Linked DNA regions of Drosophila melanogaster. The protein of the gene in region 1 interacts with the protein of each later gene in a pairwise test. Each region holds a gene or a part of one and is shown in the gene's direction. Other genes may lie near its edges. The genes, in order: toy, Ccn, cdm and CG3857.

Region 1 (4,640 bases):
TGCCTAATCTCAACCTGTTAGCTTATATATTTCCTGAGATTTCGACGTTAATACGGACGGATAGGGCTAGATCGACTCGGCTAGTGGCCCTGACCAAGAATACAGATACTTTATGTAGGCGCTTCCTTCTGACATTCTATTTTACACATTGATAAAGATATTGAAATTAAAAAAACATCAAACAAAATGTAGGCTTTAGAGTAGACGTGGCTAAATTATTGTTTAGCATATCGATAGAGACTCTACTAGTAAGTAGGTACGCAAGAAAAATCAAATATCATGAGTGCAAAATTTAATGGTTATATGCATTTGTTGCAGCCCAGACACTACGCTAAATAATATAAATTAAGGTATTTTCACACATTCCAGGAAAATCAGATTCGTCACCTTTACAATGCGCCATGAAATTTTTGGCACACGCAATAGGAATGACAAAAAGGCGATTCAAGAATATGCCCCTTTGAAGAAGCCCAGCACACTGGATGCCGGCACTACAATAATGGAAATTGTGGTGGAAGGGGAAATAGATTCGTTGATGCGTGTGACTTCAAAAATCCAAAAAACGTGTCGGACAGGATGTTGAGAGCAAGTAAGCTCAGTGGTGGCTTTTTGGGGTGGTTTAGGTTTTGAATGCTGTTACTTGGGGGTTTAATTTCTGTAAATAATAGATATCGAAAATGTAAATACAAGCAGAAGTAGCAGAACAGACAATTTATGTATTTACATATTTAATATTTTGTATAGATATACAACAAAAAATTTACAAATACTAAATACTCTTTAAAGTTAACAATACAAACTTCATCTCAAGCCCAAGTCACGCAGATCACGCTACAGGTAAGGCAAGGCATTTTGAACTCCTGATACTGTTTGACCTTCCTGAATACGTTTTTATTGCTGTTCAATTTTAAATTTAAATTAAAACTAATAAAATGCACTCATAGTTTTTATATGTGAATGTATTTTTGTATATTAACACAACCGACATCAGAAATATAATAATACTTAACGTAAAGATGGGGAATTGATACAGGGCAATAAATAACTAGTCGTTCTATACTTTTTTAAAACAAAGGTATGGCAAACGATTAGATTGTATGTTATTCAGAATGATCAGATTCTTAAACTTTTGGATACATGGTTATATAATCAAATATTTTAGGGATTAAGTGCATTAAACATGATAAAATATCATCACAACCAAACATATGCATACAATGATGAATAAGACTTACACATATACACAACCATCTATGTTTATATAAATTCAGTTTTATTTTCCAGCGTTATTATCGCTGAATCCATAATGTTAAAGTTGCCCACGATATATTTAACAACCAACCAAAACTTCAAAAAGATTTTCAAGCGGATAGGGTACACTTTTCTTTCTTCCATAGCCGTCTCTTTCCTACGCAACTCCTATTTGCCAGATGTGCGCACGATGGATTTTGTTGTAATGCCTCTCTTCCTCATGTCTCTATAGCTATCTCTTTTCACGGCACGGAAAACAGCAACGTTGTTAGCTATCGCTGACTGCAAATGAAAAGAGACAACTAGAGCAACGCCGCCAAAATGGCTGGCCGATGTGTTAGCCGTTGCTCTTGCCAGTGTTTTTTCGCATGAGAGCTCATTAACGTTTCGCTTGGCTAAGTGCGCACCTCGTCACTGAAACCAGTTAGCAAAAGAAATTTTTGTTCAAGCTTAAACCGATACCTACGTCACTATTCGATCATTTTGAATGCAAATTATTCCCAGATTAATAAACTAGGTCGCCATCCGTGGCGCTGCCGCCGGGCTGCGGACCCGTACTTTCGACGGAAAATATCGGGACCATTTTCATAAACGATCTATGATACAGTTTTAAAACACTTTAACGCTTTCCATCGTGCACACTTAAAACAAAACTCATAAAGTGAAAGTTCATATCCTGGCAAGTAAAAAGTGATAAATGTTAAAACGTCTGAAGTGATAGTCTGGAGTTTGATTACCAGGTGAAGAAGATAATATATATGGGATGTACAAAGTTGGCAACGAAGCCCCCCTTCTAACAACAATGAAAAAGGGAGTAATCCTACTTTCTCACTTTCAATAATAAACATACGCACGTCAGCCACCGTCGAAGTCTCCAACGCCGCATTAAAAATAATTAATTATGATGCTAACAACTGAACACATAATGCATGGGCATCCCCACTCGTCAGTCGGGCAGAGTACTCTATTTGGGTGCTCCACGGCGGGCCATAGCGGAATAAATCAGCTGGGCGGCGTATATGTTAATGGCCGGCCACTGCCCGATTCAACGCGTCAAAAAATTGTCGAATTGGCTCATTCCGGCGCACGTCCTTGTGATATTTCAAGAATACTACAAGTGTCCAACGGTTGCGTAAGCAAAATTTTGGGCAGGTGAGGCATTTCGAGTGCATAATGACATTTTCTTAACTAAACAGGAACTACGAAAGTAGCCTCCAACAAACAAACTGCTCAGCTAAAATTTCTGACTTCGGACTTTATTATATAAGCACTGCGTTTAAACCAGGGAGTGATATTAAATTTGGAAAATATGAAAGATTCGATTATTATACCCGTTACTCAAAGAGTCAAAAGGTATATTAGATTTGTTGAAAAGTATGCAACAGGAAGAAGGATGCGTTCCCGACCATATGAAGTATGTATATATTCCGTCTGTCCGTATGAATGTCTCGATCTCAGGAACTATAAAAGCTAGATGGTTGGAATTAGGCATACTGATTGTAGAGATATGGACGTAGCGCAAGTTTGTTGACCCATATTGCCAACACTTTTAAAAAAAGTGTTGATTTTTAATCGTTTTATTGTTTGTCTTCTATCGGTATACCAAAAACACTTTCGCCACACCCCTTCTTACACCAACAAAACGCAAAAAACGGATCCCAGAAAAATAACACAATTTTGCTTTCGTATTTAGTCGTATAGTCGGGGAATTCGACTATAGCATTCTCTCTGTTTTTGGTAAGTTAATGGCCTTACTAACGTTTCAGTAGTTTCTATATGCATAAGATCCGAATGCCTCCTAGTCTATTTCGTATCAACTAACCAATGATCGTAAGACTGCGTATGATTAAAGAGAACTTGCTTAGCATCTGTTTTGCGAGTAGCCAAATTTGTTTGTTGGAAGAACCTCTTTACGGCGTTATTGGTGTCCGTATTGCAAGTGCTGTCCATTGTACAACACTAACAAATACATTTCTCCCCTGGCTTCTAATTAATACTTATGTTATTTTGTTTAGCATATATTCTATATTCAATCCTATATGCCATTCGCAAAATATTTATATACCGGCTGCATTTAACTAATTTAATGTCTACAACTGAAAGTGTTGACTGTTGACGCTGAGGTTTGCTTATAGTTTTTATTATCTCGACGCTAAACATTTCGACGGCGTTTAGCATTGTCACCACTAATGAATCGCTGCGCTTTTCTTTTTACAAGTTGCAGCTCGCATTTACAAGCACTGCACTCCGAATTGTTTTTTTGTGCTCATCTAACATTTTGGAAAGAGGATTTTTCAATCAATACTAGAGGAATGTCCTTTTTTACTTTACTATAAGCACTGCTCTTCCCGAGAATATTTACGGCTTTCGACTACTAAGTTACATAATTGGAACTAATCAGATATTAGCAGTTCTATTATAAATACTTTAGAGTAAGAAAATCAATGATTTTCGTAATATGAAAATTTGAAATCAGGCCCCCATCCCAATCTCTCATTGTGTGACTCTGATTATTGAAACACATTCACCATTTATGATCATAATACATAAAAATCAAAATCATATCTTAAGAAGAACGTATTTTTAAATTCTCTGTTCTTTGCAAAATAAGAAAATATACAGCCAAATCTAAATTGATTGTATATTCATTGTTTATTCTATTATCTACTTTTAATGACTACTCAGATAAAATGTAAATAAGTTTATTTTTTTTAGATATTATGAAACTGGATCGATAAAACCTCGAGCTATAGGTGGTTCAAAGCCACGAGTAGCTACAACCCCGGTTGTGCAAAAAATTGCAGATTACAAACGGGAATGTCCCAGCATATTTGCGTGGGAAATACGAGATCGACTGCTATCGGAACAAGTTTGCAATAGTGATAACATTCCAAGTGTAAGTTATATTTTGCGCACATAATAATATTTCTGCACGTGCTAATAAAAGTTCTAACATACCATTTTAAGCGTTTTCGATCCTTAAAAATATATATGTATATTCATGATCAGGATCTAGGACCAGTCCGTACCTCTCTTTCTGTCTTACGTTAAAAATTTTAGAAGTTTAAAGCTGAAAGATTGTTTCAAACTAACTTTCTAATAGAGCCTTATAGCTTTAAGCTATTTATAGTTGTTTTCCTGTTCTCTTAAAAACTCTGATCTGACTAATAAAAGTTCTAACATACCATTTTAAGCGTTTTCGATCCTTAAAAATATATATGTATATTCATGATCAGGATGGATCTAGGACCAGTCTGTACCTCTCTTTCTGTCTTAAGTTAAAAATTTTAGAAGTTTAAAGCTGGAAGATTGTTTCAAACGAATTTTCTAATAGAGCCTTATAGCTTTAAGCTATTTATAGTTGTTTTCCTGTTCTCTTAAAAACTCTG
Region 2 (4,740 bases), on another chromosome or scaffold:
AATTACAATATCAATTTAAAAGGGATTAAAATGGACCGGCCGGAGGCTTAAGCGGCTCCCAACGCCACTCGCCATCTAAGCTGCCGCTCCTGTTGGTCCTCCATGGTCAGAAGATGGCATATTTTGTGGCGTATTTAAGATTTGTTCCCTTCTAAAATTTGTGAAATTGCAAATTGTATTTGCCTGAGCCGTGACGAAACCCACAAACTTTTAAATTAAATTCTGAGCTAGCAGATTTTCATAATAAATAACGAGTCTTACACGAGTATAATCAGCCGTAATGCCATTGTGTAATGTAGAGATACACTGTATTCAACCAATACCGGGGCGGAACTTTCAACAAGTGGCGAATTCTTTGCGATTCGGTGTGTATTTTTGCATAATTTATTTACCCTGCTTGTTAAATCACAAATGCTGTACACAAAGAACCGCAATTTATGCGAGAGTATTGAAGTCTGTACACTGGACCAGGCCAAGATGCAATTTGGCTAAGTAAAGATGCCGATAAAGTGCAGTCGGATGGTGTGCAAATAGACTAAAAACATAAACTGCAGACGAGGCTAAGCAGCTCAAATGCATTAAATTTAAACGCTCGACTAAGCGGTTTAATTTGGAAAGTAGCAAAAAGCTTCGCCAATCTTTCATCGGACCAAGAATTCACTTCCTGTCCCTCCTCGACCACGTCCATTCATCGATTCGTCCATCCATCATGTCTATCAATGCCCGGGTCTTAGCCATGAGACAGATAAATCAGTTAAGCATCGTCATGTCAAGTTAACAGGCGATTACAAGGGCTTTACCTGACCAGATACGAAGCTTAAGACCATTGCGAGAGGTCAGCGAGGTTTAAGAGCATGTTTCAGTGAACCATTCGCCCTATTATCTATAATATGCAATAGTTCCTTGAACATAATGTTGGCCAATGAAAAAGTAAGCAGAAAAGAAGCAAAAATTTAAAAGTGGTATAGTCTCAATTAACTTAAGCACATATGTATTTGTAATCAAAAGCGAGGGCAATAAATCAAATAAGCTGGCGATTACAAAAGGCCGTCTGCATGCACCGATAGTTGATAAGCAATTGAGTGTGGGCGACGCAACAAGAGGATATCACGAAGGACACGAAGGATGGAAGCCTGCAGACCTCGGCTTGTTGATAAAAGAAATTAAACAGACAGCGCTGAAATAAAAGGGAAAACACAGAGGCAAAGAAGCATTAAGCCCACAAGACAATTGACAATGGGTGGGCCTGAAAATGGTTCAAGGATTCGAAGAGGGGTGTCCTTTTGGCAGGGGATCTGTGGCATTTGTCTCGACTGTCTCGTTGACATGACGTTGCGCGAATTGTGCGCCAGGATTGCTGTTGTGCGTTCTGTTGGCTGTGTTTTCGGTTTGCGAGTCGTCTGCCAACAAAGTGAGCAACACGCGCCGATGATTATGTTGCCGCTGACAACGACAACAACCACAGGAACAGCAGCAACACCTAAAGCAACAGCAATAACAGCAACACCAAAAGCAACATCAGCAACAGACTACTCCGAAAACGAGTGCCATTTTCGGAGTCCTGTTGGCGGCAAATGTCTTGTGGCACGAAGCTTTTCATTGACTAAAAGTGACGCATGCGCAGTTGGTCAGCCAACTTGGACTCCGATTTGAATTCAGTCCTCCGTCCTCAGTTTCAGTTCGTTTTTGTCACTCGTTCGTGCTGCACGGCACACGCGTCGTATGAGCGATATCACCTGGTCTTCTAAGACTGTTTTATTGGATTTTGGCGCAAGAAGGCAAAAAAGCCGGCTAAAGTGTCCCTCGTGGGTGTGTGTACGTGTGTTGCCGGAAATACTTTGAGCAATCGAAACGACAAAAGGCGAATAAAAAAAGATAGAAACCAAAACAAAAGTCTAAGCAAATTAACTTGGCCCATTCGTTGTATTGCGAGTATTGTTCTAGTGGTTATATTATGTTTGGGGTTTTTTGCCCAGCCCTCCTGCCAGCACGAAAGTAGGTTAATTGACGTGTGTTGCGGGCGTATCTACAAGGAAAATAATAAAAAAAAGTACCTAGAAGTAGAAAAACAAATACACGAGCAGCCAGTGAAGTGGTCAATTGCCACTGCCAGGGGTCTCTGAACCCCCTCGATAAATCAAAAGTGTGGGCAGAAAGTCCGGCTAATTTAAGGTATGTCAAATGGTATACTTATTGTTGAATATTTTATTATAATATTGCTAAAAATACAAGTTTAATCAACACTGACCGCAGTGTTAATGCGTTTATTTTGACGTTTGTGCCATTGGCTTCAAATAAATCTACATAATGTGGCAAAAATGGAGGTTCAATGCACTAGCAAATATCTATTGTTTTTAGTTGAACGAATTTTGTGCTGATTATTTGTTTCTACGTTGGACAATTTTAATTAGTTCGTGCATTGAGCAAGCATCGATTAATAGGTAATATATAACCCTAAAAAAATTTGAAGCACAAGTGTGGAAGTAATTTTAAACGAACGTCATTGTTTTATTGTTTTAAAAGCTACCATATTAAAGCGATAAGCTTCCAATTAAAAGTTAATGGGAGTGTTAAGTGTTAAATATTTGCATTAATGTGAGGCATTTAATTTTTTTTTTAGCCAAGTTTGTGGTGGTATGAGTAGAGTATGAGATAAATAGTTTCTTTTGTTATTATATTGCGGTAAATGATGTATTTCTCTTGATAAAAATAAAAATGCGGTATATTTTTTTAAATTACCCATCGAAAAAAAGTTTCGCATGCCAATGCGACAATTGACACTGCAGCAAACAGAAAAAAAGGACATAATACAAAGGGGAATAACATTGCGTAAACAAAAATAAACATATGCAAAATAAACTTCAAACAAATGTTGCCGCACCGAGTTTTGGGCCATCAAAACAAACAGAGAACACAAAAAAGGATAAAAACAGAACAAAAAAATTGAAACCGAAGTGAGCAACGCGGGGAAGTGGGTTCATGGTCGGTTGCGAATCGGTGCCTTAGAGGCAACTTTGTTGCACAAAATTTATTAATTTTTTTTTTCGCCAAGTGCGTGCTTGTGTGTGTGTGTGTGCGGTGTGTGTGTCAAATTTAAAAGCATTCTTTCCAGTTGCCTTTGGACGGGGGATGTCCTGGCAGCTGCCTTTTTGTTTTATTATTTTGCGGAAGCTGCGAACCAACATTTATAAAAAGGTTTTTCTTGCTCGTCCTGCTACGTGAGCCATGCACACACAAACACACCAACACACACACACACACAACATACATGCCCACACCCACAGACGCACATTGCTGTGCATTACCGTTATTTTATGACGGAAGTACATTTAAGCAGATTTTTTCTCACAGAACTCCCGCTCCCTTCAACCGAACTGGAAAAAAGGGCTGCCAAAAATGTACAAAAAAAAAAATTGGGAAACCGAGGAAATTTAAATATTTTCTTTTACGCTGTGCTTTTCATTTGCCAGTCTCGCTAAAATTTATGACCAACAAAATTGGAATATTCCCCAAAACAACAGTAGCAACAATAAAGCCAAGACAAAGTTCGCTTCGATGGCCGTAAAAAATAAGAAACCTTTACGAAGCGTTTCGATGAAAAATAACCATCCAGAATTTGAATCAAGTAAGAAAACATTGAAATACTCGATTAAATAAGCAACTTAATACTCAAAATATAGAAACAGATGACTAGATTAATTTTGTATGGTAGTGATTTGTTGTATTATTTGTATTTGTTGTATTTGTTGTGAAATGATGTATTATGCTTTTGATTTGAAAACAGAATGTTTGATAGCATATCATAAAATTTATATTAAGCCATTCCGCAAATTGAACTCGAGAAGTTATGAAAATGATAAGCTTCATAAACCAAATACTTTTCAAATGAACTCCTCCGCACCCTAGGCACATATTATATTAATTGAAATTTAATACAATTACCAGGCGAATGTGTGGAAAGCCAAGTGAAAGTCGGCAGCCAAAACACACATAAATTCAAGCCAAACACACACGCATTCCATGTTGGGAAGGCAAGGAGATTTCTTGCCAAGTAAGTGACTCAATAAATAAATTTACTTGCCAACTTTTTGCCTTGTTGTTGCGGCCTTGGGGGACTGATTGTTGCTTTCTCAAGGTAGATTTGCGTTGGCATGCTCTCCCCGTCGAAGGATCTGAAAAATACTGTAGCCGTAATAAACAACACTTGATCGAGGACGGGGGCACAAAGTTAAGTGTGCTTTACTGGGGCACGCGAAATAAATTTCTGGAATTTAACAAGATGAACGAGAATAGCAGGAGACAATTCTTTTTCAAAACGAGACCTCCTAATAAGATGTTGTTGAAATAGAAATTTGAGTAACATGCTGATTGTATTTATCGGAATAAATTGGTAGAGTATTCTACAACAACTGCCAATTTAAATCCCCGACTTTTCACTTATTTTTCATGAGCCACTTTAAGCTGTGAATTATACCACGCCAAGTATTATGATCTGATCTGAGCGAGGGTCGTAAAGCGGAATCCTCAAGAATACGAACTTGAATTTGCACAGCATTAGCACAGACTGTGGGGGTATCTAGAAAACAAAGACTGGGGTGGGAGGGCGTTTTTTACTCGCGCTTTTATTAAGTAAGTGAGCTATTCAAAATCAAAGCAGCGGAAAAATCCGCATCGCCCAGGGGCGAACGGTGTGGCAAAATGTGTCCGCCGATTGTCAGGCAAATGTCAAGCACAAGCTGC
Region 3 (6,534 bases), on another chromosome or scaffold:
CATATTTTACAATTGTGGCTTATAAATGGAGCTATAATAATTGAAGCTTAAATTTAATAAATACATATTTTCATTTCTCAATCCCATACAGATGCCGGAAATGTTCGAGCTCCACAATAATGCGACCATTGGTGAATTGAAGCAAAAACTGGAGGTAAAAGTAGGTCTTCCCTTGGCTCGCCTAAACGTACAGAGTTTTCACAAGTCTCTGGAAAACGATGAGTTTATTACAAATTTGCTCAGAATTCCGGATAAAAGCGATTATACTTATCCGTCGACAACGCTTAATGGTACAGCCTTTTCGCTGTACCACGAAAATTCCTTTGTAGGATTTCTCCAATTCTATACAATTCCAGAGGGCAAGAGCCAACTGGATTTCCTTAACATGCCGAAGAGCTCTATGCTTCTGCCAGTGGACAGGCTTCCGCAGTTTTGCGAGGCTTCGAACTCGCAAGATTCCTCCGCATCCAGTGCGTCGAACCAGACGAACGCCAGCTTCGAATCCGCAAGCACGAGCGCCAGCTCCGTAGCGCGAAAGACGAGAGTGTGCGCCTCCGATGAGGAATCGGCTGCCAAAAGGTGTGTGTTGTGTGTAATAACTATATATGTAAATGATAGGGATACCCAACTGATTCATTCACAGAATACGAAGCAACCAAGAGAACAGCGTGGTCAAGGTGGTTCCGCAGCAGAATCTGCTCGCGGACAAACGAGCCGGCAGCATGGCTTCCATATTTGGTTCGAAGATCCACCTGATGAACTGCTGCAAGACGGAGACCAGCCGCACAAGCTGCTCAGTGGAGCAGGCCGAGGAGTGCAAGGAGAGGAAGAAGGACTGCTGCACGCCAAAGAATTGTCGCAAGAGGGATACTCGGCCGCCGTATGCGAACACAATGCCCGAGAACCGACGTTACGCCTTGGTGATAACTAACCAGAGTTCGTGCTCGGATGGTGTGGACACTATCGCCCTAATGGAGCACTTTCATTCAATATTCGAGGACAGTGGATCGAGCGTCAGCGATCTCAATTTTAGTGAGTGTGCCTCAACGCAGACATTCGACTGCAACATGCTGGTGGTCTGCGAGGATAACGAAACGGCCCAATGGGTCATCGAAGCAGTCGAAGGTGTGGAGCCGCCCCACTCCTGCCAGCCCTTCATTAAGTTCTTCGATCTAGTGAGGACGACCTTTGTCCTGCCCTTGGTCAGTCCGAATAAGTCGCTCTGTGTGATCTTCGCATTACTGGAGTCACAGAACCCGGGCTTGAATACCGACAGATGGGCCGTCGTTAATCGCTCCACTTTGGACTGCCAAGACGTGGAGAGGCAGGTCGCTCAATTCTGCGACAACGTCCTTATTGAGGTGTATATCGATGAGGATAGCAGGGATTTCATCGCCGACCGGTGTTCCAAATTGCGATACTGTTTCTGGCAACTTAAATTCGATTTTATATAGGACTTTTTGGGCTTTCCAAATTCACTGTTAACTTGTTAAGATACTCCTCAATTGCAGAGAGTATTTACTAAATAGAAATAGTAAAATTTTATGAAGTGTACGAATGAATAAATGTTGTTATAAATTGAATTTTTCCTGCATATATCGAGCATATAGGCCACAAGCAATTTATACTATATTACATATTTATTTATTATTAAATACGTACATTTCAACACTTTTTATAAAAAATACAGGAGGAAAAAAAGCGCGGCAAAGTCGAAAATGGAGTGACCGCACACTCGGCCCGTCCGCGAATTGGTGACTTCGCGCGTTGGTCACACTCGCGAATCCAGTGCCCACAGGCAGAAGCAAAGAAAACCACCACCCGAGGATTAGCGGACAGGAGACTGCCTCTCGGCAGCAGCAGCATTAGCAGCAGCAGCAGCCATTCCACATGGAGCCCATTGACATTGCGCGTCTGGAGGAGGCGGTCGTGTCGTTCTACCGCTCGAACTCGCAGAACCAGGCGATCACCCATGAATGGCTTACCGATGCGGAGGCCAGTCCACAGGCCTGGCAGTTTTCCTGGCAGCTAATGCAGCTCGGCAAGGTGAGTACCACGCAGGACCTGCGCATCAATGCATCAATTACCCGGATATGTATACTCATGCACCTACCGCCCACCCAATCACCCCACCGCCCACACAGAGTCAGGAGGTGCAGTTCTTCGGCGCCATCACGCTGCACTCCAAGCTTATGAAGCACTGGCACGAAGTGCCGCCAGAGAATCGCGAGGAGTTAAAGCAAAAGATACTCGAATCCATCGTTCGCTTCGCTGGCGGACCGAAGATCGTCCTCAATCGGTTGTGCATCTCGCTGGGCGCTTACATCGTTCACATGCTGGGCGAATGGCCCGGCGCCATCGAGGAGGTGATCAACACGTTTCAGAATCAACGGATGCCAAATGTCAGCGCCGATGTGCAATTGTGGATCATGCTGGAGGTGCTGACCGCCATTCCCGAGGAAGCGCAGGTCATACATACGTCTGTCAAGCGGGTTGTTCTGCGCGCCGAGATCGCCAAGCGAGTGCAGTTGGTCATTCACACCGTTGAGCGATATCTGAAGCTGCAAATGAACCGCGTGTGGGATGCCGAGGCGTACAGTAACATGAACAGGGCCGTTAAGTGCGTCGGCACCTGGATCAAGTGAGTATTCAATTTACAAAATTATTCTTTACACGTTCTAAGTGAGTTTCCAACTTGGACAGAAACATCGGCTACACCATTGAGGGCTGCGTCACCATCACCGCCGTGCTCCTGGAAGTGGTGCACAAGTGCTATTGGCCCTGCATACACGCCGGCGACGGCTGCATGACCGCCGATGAGAACGAACTGGCCGAGTCCTGTCTGAAGACCATGGTGAACATTATCATCCAGCCAGACTGCCACAACTATCCAAAGACGGCATTTGTGCTTATAAAAATGTTCCTGGACTCGCTATCCGAAATCACAAAGACGGAATGGAAGAGGGAGAACGACAACGAGGACATTATCGTACATATCTACATGCTGTTCGTCTCTTCGGTGGAGCGACATTCGACGCTGTTGCTCAGCGGCATCACGTCCGCGGATCCGGAATTGTCTATCCTAGTGCATCGCATCGTGCAGGAGATTCTCCACTGCACGGACAAGCCGGGCATTTACCCGGTGGAGGAGTCCTGCAGCACAATGGCCTTGGCGTTTTGGTATATGCTGCAAGACGAAGTGTTCGCCATGTCTAACGATGAGCAGAAACACAAGTGCTGGGAGTACATCAAACCATTGTACGCCCATCTAACCAGGATTTTAGTAAGAAAGTCAGAGCAGCCAGACGAAAAGTCGCTCGCCAAGTGGAGCTCCGATGATTTGGAATGCTTTAGGTGCTACAGACAGGATATATCCGATACCTTTGTGAGTGGTTGCAACAGTTGGAGTGTCTCCAAATCGAAAGGATTGGCTACCGTTTTCAACTATTAACAAACAGGCATAATATAGCATTTATTTTATTTATTTTAGATGTATTGCTATGATGTGTTGAATGACTATATCTTGGAGATTCTGGCTGCCATGTTGGACGAGGCCATTGCCGATCTGCAAAGACATCCCACACACTGGACAAAGCTGGAGGCGTGCATCTATTCCTTTCAGTCGGTGGCCGAGCACTTTGGTGGCGAGGAGAAGCGGCAAATACCACGGCTGATGCGCGTGCTGGCCGAGATTCCCTACGAGAAGCTCAATGTCAAGCTACTGGGCACTGCGCTAGAGACAATGGGCTCCTATTGCAATTGGCTGATGGAGAATCCGGCGTACATTCCGCCAGCCATTAACCTACTGGTGCGCGGCCTCAACTCCTCAATGTCAGCACAGGCGACGCTCGGCCTGAAGGAGCTGTGTCGCGATTGTCAGCTGCAGCTGAAGCCGTATGCGGATCCGCTCCTAAACGCATGCCACGCTTCCCTAAACACGGGCCGCATGAAGAACTCCGATTCGGTGAGGCTTATGTTCAGCATCGGTAAGCTAATGAGCCTGCTGCGGCCAGAGGAAATACCCAAATACTTGGATATTATCGTCAGTCCCTGCTTCGAGGAGCTACAGGCCATTTGCCAGGCAGATTCGGTGAGTAAATATAAATATAAAATATATAAAGAGATCAGTTGCTAACCATTTCTTTTGTTGCACTAGAAAACTCCCGCTGCTCGAATTCGCACAATCTTCCGGCTCAATATGATCTCCACTCTCTTCTCCTCGCTAAACACGGATGTGGACGAGCAGGCGACGGACCAACCGATTGTGCAGCCAGTTCTGCTCGTCATGCAGCGCACGATGCCCATCTTCAAGAGAATCGCCGAGATGTGGGTGGAGGAGATCGATGTCCTAGAGGTAAGGCAATAAACACAAAATTTTGCATATTTTTAATAAAATGTTATCGTATTCATATAGGCCGCTTGCAGTGCGATGAAGCATGCGATAACGAATTTAAGGAGCAGCTTCCAGCCAATGCTGCAGGATCTTTGTCTCTTCATTGTTGCCAGCTTTCAGACCCGATGCTGCGCTCCTACTCTAGAAATATCCAAAACGGTGAGCCTTACCAATATATTGCAAATGACTGAGTGATCTAATAGAATCCTTTGTTTCAGGCCATTGTTATGTTCTTTAAGGACGAAGGCTGCAAGCCGCTGATGCAGCAACTTCTGAGGGAGTTCATCCAACACAGCTTTAAGCTATTTGAGAGCACTCCCGAGCAGAACTTCTCCAACATTTCGGACACCATGGAAACCTTCTTCGGCTGTCTGACGCAGATCATTAAGAAAATCCCTCAAGTTTTGGAGGACAAGACACTGGCCTACGATCGTCTGGTCTTTTACGCCCAGCGTGGAATGACTTTGCCGGAGAGTGGTGCCATCCGAAATAGCATACAGTTTCTTACCCACTTTGTGATGCAGTCGCGTAACCATGCTCATGTCACAGAAGTTGTCCTGGCCACCGGCGAGCAGACGCTGTACACGGCGATGATGTGCGTGGGCTACCTAACGCCGCGGTCGCAGGTGGATAAGTTTGCAGACATCCTTCTTGCCATGAACAGAAAATATGCCGCCGAGATGGCCGTCTGGATGAAGTCCCTAATGTCCACTCCCAATTTCCCCACACAGCTCATAACCGACGCGGATAAAACGCGCTACACTGCTCTAATAATCAAGTGAGAGGCGTTACTTATATATAGATCCTTAAAGATTGTATTAATTTTATAAATTTTTTCACAGGGAAAAGGTCAACAAGAGGTTATTGCAACAACATTTGTCGGAAATGGCAATGAAGACCCGAGGACTTACAGAAAAGTTCCAGTGAAATGAGTGTATGCAATAAGTGGCCAAATGACATCTTTATCCATCCGGATTTTGATCTAGTTTCTATAATTGTATTTAGTTTGTATTTAAATAGGCCGTCAGCTCTGTAAATTGTCTCCAATTTTAACTTAAGTTCAAAAGTTCTCGACTTGATAAACTTTTATTTATAATTTTTACAAAATTACATGCTCCATTTACAATTTGCACATATATATTGTTTTAAGGGTGTATAACTCATTTTTCATTTATTGTTTTCACTTTTAGTAAATGTTTTATAGTTTTTGTTTTTCCCATATATATATATATGTTTAATTCTTATGTTGAAAAGTTTGATTTTCACCGTTTCCTGTATGAAAAAATCTGCCTTTCTAAGAATTACTTTCCCTTTACCTCTCCACCCATATTATTGTTTTGCAATTTTCCACATTGTGTATGTATCTATAATGCCAAAAATATGTAAATACATCTCTTTATATAATATATATATATATATATATATTTGTGTCTATAGCTAAACTGAAGCCTTTCGTTTTTGGCGTGTACAGCACTTGGTAGTGGTAGCAAAACTCTTTTGATCTGCTTCGTCGCCTTTGTCTAGATTCTAGATTAGTTGAGAGTATCTGCATAAATCCTTGTCTAACGGACCCGGTAATGACTTGACTATGGAACTAAACGACTGGTTGACACGGATCCAAAATTACAGTTTAACATATAGATATAGATTAACGTATAGAAGTAGACGCTACGACCAGCAATTTGTCCCAGTCTGTTGTGGTGACGTTGTAAGGATGCTTATAGGTTATCAACTGTGCTTGGTGGACCAGAAATTGGCACATCTCTATTCCTTGGCGGTCCGCAGGATCATCCACGGCCAGTCCAGGACAAACAAAAATGCCTAATTCCTTTTGATCGGTGTTCAGGAACACGGTTCTCCGCACATATATATATATATATATTTCTATATTTAATAGGTAGTACATACAAAAATACACTCACGCACATACATACCACAATTTATGTGTCCTGCTGGGCGATTTGTTTCATATAAATATATTATGGGTATGCTGCTCTAACTGCTAGGCTAAATAGCGTACAATATTTGCAAATTTGAGTCGTGGAGTAGTAAACATGTTTTATATAGTATGTGTGTATAATAGTGGCATGTGGCATGAATGTCTGGATGTCATATAGCTATCTATGTATGCATGTGGCAGA
Region 4 (4,689 bases), on another chromosome or scaffold:
AAGAGAGGGTTCTCTTCGTTCCCGCTGCGCAAGAGAAAAGTTCGTTCACTGAACTTTTTTCGCTGTAAGTAGAGTAGATTTTATAGGCGAAGGAAAATATTTTTTAAATTCAAATGGAAATACGTAAATTTTTTTTTATTGATTTCATGTAGTTTTGAACTCACTTTGAACAAACAAAAATGTATTGTTTTCCTTACGAAATAATAAATAAGCAGAAAATGCACTGCAATTAAGTACGCCACAAGAACCCAGAAGAGTCAACTTAATTAATCCATAGTGATAATAATAATCAAAAACGATTTTCATATTAGTATTTAAGCTACATATTTTATTTGATTTCCACATTAAATTGTGTCAACATCAGCCCAAAAACATTATCCTGCTGCCCGAGGTAAGAACTTTATTTTAGCATTTGTCTTGTCGCAATCACAGTGCTAGCAGCCGATCGTGTTGGCATTGATGAACTGCACGAACAAGTGCGGCACCTGCTCCAGCGGAGTGGGTGACGTCTGGCTGGCGTGGCACGTGCTCGTGATGAACTTCTGGCGCAGGCGGTTCAGCTGGAGGGCATTCATCGAAGTGGCGACCTTCACGGGATTTCTGCTCCCTGGGATGCGCAGCTGGCCGAAGGCCTTGATCTTGACGGCGCCGAGGATCTCCTTGATGATCGCCTGCACGATTTTGTCCAGTTCGAACAGGTAGTTGGTTGTTCCCAGCGGTGCCTGCGGAATGGACAAAGCAGTTACTTGTGATATTTTGTCTTCAACTCTGGCCAAGCTCTACGCTTACATTATAAGTACTCTGGTTGGGTGGCAGTGGCTGGGACTCGTACAAGGCCTTGTAGATGGCCTCCATGTCGAGCGTGTCCTTGGGCAAGACTACCACCAGCGGACTGTCCCAACGGTTGTTGCTCTGCGGCTCCTCGTAGCGCTGGCACAGAGCATCAAAAGTCTCTCTGGTGTAGGGAACATCCGAGTTGTCCACCGGCTGAACTCTTTCACTGTCGCCAGGCAGTTCATCCGGCGCCGTTCTTTGGCTATTAAAGGTCCACGCCTCCTCCTGGGGTATGCAGGTAAACACAGTGCACTGGGTGGTCCTTGACACCTTGGACATGCAGTACAATTCGTAGCGGTAGCCTGGAAGAAATTTTGGTTGTGGTTTACGAACCTTAGCTGAACCTTGGTGAGAGCTCACCTTTGATGTAGTTCCCGGCGTCCAAGATGACCAGATCCTCCTGGTTAAGGTGACGCGAGGCTTCCGACTTAAGATCGCTACGTACCACCTTCTCCTTCTGCGAATCACCTGTATGGGAATTCTTTCCAAAACCCGCCTTGGGCACTGCCTCGTTTTCGCTGATTAGATGCACCTTCCTGCCGCGCTCCACGAAATGATCCCGTAGCTGGCGGGCACGTGTGCTCTTTCCGCTGGCTGGCAGGCCCGTAATCACCACGAGGGGCATGCTTCCTAATTAATAACAATAAATAAACAAAGTAGGTGTCGGAACGTTCCGCTCACAATGCACTCGGTTACCAACACTGGTGACAGTGTGCAAGATGAGCATCCATCTGGTTTCGAGCTAGATTTAGATATGTGCTTGCCTTTCACTTCTCATGATTAAAAATATTTGGCTATAAGTCCAGTGCAATTGTGATAAAAAAAAGTGGATAATCTTGTGTACCGTTATTTGTTGGGCCAGCCGATTGTTGCGTCTGAAATTAAAAATGTTGTCCTTAATTTCGTATTTTTCGCTTTTTAGCTATATTTCCACGACATCTGCGATGGTTATGTACATACCAGTGCTGCGAAACAATGTATTAGCGTTGACACCCACGAACGTGTTCAAACCGATTTAAATTTAGTCAAATATAAACCCCAAATAACCGGCTTCCGAATGGCTGATCCCCGTCGTCGTTTCCGTAACAAAAAGCGGGATGAAGCCTGCTCCGGCCTCCTGGCACCCGTGACCATCGCCCGGCGCGAGGACGCCGCCCGCATGATGCAGCCAAAAATTCTGCTAAAGAAGGATCGCGATCGGGAGCAAGAGACCTGGGACAGAGAGCGGGACAAGGATAGGAAGCTGGAGAGGGACAGGGAGGCGGAGCCAAGTCCCAGTTGTTACCCCGATACACCGCCGGCCCTCAAAACGATGATCGTCAATCGTACGGGTGAGGTGCGGCCTGCAGACAGATGCCAGATGCCTTTGGCCGGAGGTGCTCTTGTCCAGGGAAGCGGGCAATTGTCCGCCGTGCCATCCAGCTCCGTTTGCGCCGCATTGGTTAGCTCGGTACCAACTAGCAGGGACAAGGGGAGCTGCAGTGGTGGTGCCGGAACAGCTGGCACCTCGGCCGGAGCACCGAATGCTCTCCAGGAGCTGCAGCCGCCACGCATGAACCGTCCCACACCCCTAATCGTGGCCAATGGTATTTTTAATGCCAATGCCCGCAAGCTCTTCCACAAAACCAATACGGACTTCACCGTAATCGGGGTCCTGGGTGGTCAGAGTTCCGGAAAAAGCACGCTGCTCAATCTTCTGGCCGCAGAGCGGTCCCTGGACTACGACTACTATCAACATCTATTCTCTCCAGAGGCGGATGAATGCATCTTTGCCACGCGTCACAAGTTGAAGCCGAACAATGGGCAGAAGAGCATTTTGCGTCCTCGCACGGAAACCCTGCAGTTTTTTATCACCCGGGAACGTCACATACTGCTGGACACACCACCGTTAATGCCTGTAGGCAAGGACTCGGATCACCAGGATCTTTACTCCCTGGGCACCATGGCGCAACTGTTGAGTGTATGCCATATATTAATTTTAGTCATCGATGGCTTGGCCTTGGAACAATTGCGTCTGATAAACGCTGCCCTTCGCCTGAGACCGACGCTTCATTGCAAAGGCTATGTACGGGATCACATGCCGCAGGTAGTATTCGTCCGCGCGCGTGCCCATCGAATAGACTTTGAGATACAGCAGCGGGAACGACTGGACAAAAAGTTGGCCTACTTATACGGGCCGACGGGGCTGCCCATATACCGGGGAAGAGGCGATGCACGGTGCTTAAACACCTTCCTCCTGCCGGAGGTGAGTAGCAACAAAGCCACCGCTTTCCATTCCTGCCTCGGCGAACTGGTGCGTCAGTTCCGAGAACGTATCCTCGGATGCACGCGCATCTCTATGTGCCACACCAGCACCGAACTCAGTGAGGCCATCTGGTTTGAGATCCTGGCCGAAAGTGCTCGCAAGGCGGCTCCTCATTTCGAAAAGATCTACGCAGAGATCAAGTTGCGCCACCTGGACACACGCTGCCAGTGGCGATCGGACAATTGGCGCACGTTCTCTTCCAATGCCGAAAGCTGATCCACAGATTGTAAGTACGCGGTTGGTATAAAACTATGCAAGTGGGTGAAGCGGCTTGGACTGGGATACGCAGTCCTGAATCATTCAAGTGATTCAAGTTCCAGTGGCAATGTTTACCTATCCTTTTATTAATGACACGTGCAGTGTTATGGCCAATATGTTTAGCTGAATACCGACCGACATCAAGTCTTTTTTTTAAAGGAGGTGTTTAAAGTTAACATATGAATCAGAAGTTGAGATAGTGACTGATATACATATTGTTTTACAGACATATCCCTAATTAATAAAAGACTTCAAAAATAATTGTATAGCATTTACAAAGAATAGTATTTACATTTTGGAGTTTAGGCTTAACGATTATCCATTTTTATCAGCCGATTATTAAAGTTAAGAACCCTCTTCTTGCGCTCTTCGTCAGGACTCACCAGCGCTCGGCTCTCGTGTTTTCGGGCCCCGTCAGCAGGCGACTCGGGGCCTGTCTAGTAACATGTTCGTGTAAGTTACGAACCCTCTTCTTGCGATCTTCGTCAGGACTCACCAGCGCTCGGCTCTCGTGTTTTCGGGCCCCGTCAGCAGGCGACTCGGGGCCTGTCTAGGAACATGTTTGTGTATGTGTGCATTCGGAACAAGTGCCGTTGGTCGCACTCAGGGTGAGGGGTCAACGGGGGAAGCGGATATAAAAGCAGCGGGGCGGGAGAAGAGGCCCAGTCTCGAACGGACACATAACGGAACCGCTAGCAGATCGCGAACTGAATCTTAAAATAAAGCTAATCGTAAACTCGAACCCTCTTAACTATCTTGACTATTATTTGGAGAACCACAGCATGTTGGTTGTCATATCAAGGTGAGGTATGCGGCAGCGAGTGCCGAGAACCCTGATGCAAGTGGAACTTGCGTTAACTGGCGCCCGAACAGGGACCGGCAATGTCCGGCCGATAAAAGTGATACGAAAAAATTGTGGAAATTTGTGCGTAAAAATAGTGGTGGTGTGCATAAGTCAGATTAAGATCTGAAATCCATAAATGAAAAAGAAGTGCTGCGTGAGCTGTGTATAAAATGATAAAATAGCAATTACCCGCTGCCGGGGGGAACTACGCCCATCCCGGGGCGCAACAAATATTGCATAATTCAATAAAAGGTGTAAAATTTCTAAAATAAAAATGTAAACCTATGTTGCGCCAAGACCTAATTTAAATTAATAAAACAACGACCCGCTACCGGAGGACGCCACGTCGCCCATGCCGAGCGCAAAAGTTGTACGATACCTATAACATAATTAAAACACGATCAACCCACTGCGGCGGTACGGCTTGTGGGAAAATTTTTTTTTTTTC

The links.
Region 2: the proteins of toy (region 1) and Ccn interact in a two-hybrid assay, tested with the Drosophila melanogaster proteins (one large-scale study listed by BioGRID).
Region 3: the proteins of toy (region 1) and cdm interact in a two-hybrid assay, tested with the Drosophila melanogaster proteins (one large-scale study listed by BioGRID).
Region 4: the proteins of toy (region 1) and CG3857 interact in a two-hybrid assay, tested with the Drosophila melanogaster proteins (one large-scale study listed by BioGRID).

What each region holds. Positions count from the first base shown.
Region 1 is NC_004353.4:988,100-992,739, forward strand, and holds the start of toy (twin of eyeless), read left to right. Parts: upstream 1-1,625; 5' UTR 1,626-2,152; coding exon 2,153-2,403; intron 2,404-3,966; coding exon 3,967-4,147; intron 4,148-4,640.
Region 2 is NT_037436.4:17,688,304-17,693,043, forward strand, and holds the start of Ccn (Ccn), read left to right. Parts: upstream 1-1,711; 5' UTR 1,712-2,172; intron 2,173-4,740.
Region 3 is NT_033777.3:18,178,703-18,185,236, reverse strand, and holds cdm (cadmus), read left to right. Parts: upstream 1-1,757; 5' UTR 1,758-1,890; coding exon 1,891-2,046; intron 2,047-2,144; coding exon 2,145-2,641; intron 2,642-2,703; coding exon 2,704-3,385; intron 3,386-3,490; coding exon 3,491-4,090; intron 4,091-4,156; coding exon 4,157-4,354; intron 4,355-4,414; coding exon 4,415-4,552; intron 4,553-4,611; coding exon 4,612-5,171; intron 5,172-5,187; exon of another isoform or gene 5,188-5,235; coding exon 5,236-5,320; 3' UTR 5,321-5,962; downstream 5,963-6,534. Other genes in the region: CG7208 (uncharacterized protein), read left to right, coding at 92-579, 644-1,454.
Region 4 is NC_004354.4:1,937,157-1,941,845, reverse strand, and holds CG3857 (uncharacterized protein), read left to right. Parts: upstream 1-1,805; 5' UTR 1,806-1,891; coding exon 1,892-3,355; 3' UTR 3,356-4,146; downstream 4,147-4,689. Other genes in the region: CG3587 (uncharacterized protein), read right to left, coding at 435-722, 790-1,136, 1,195-1,459. UniProt on the Drosophila melanogaster protein: Involved in nonsense-mediated decay (NMD) of mRNAs containing premature stop codons. Probable component of kinase complex containing nonC and recruited to stalled ribosomes.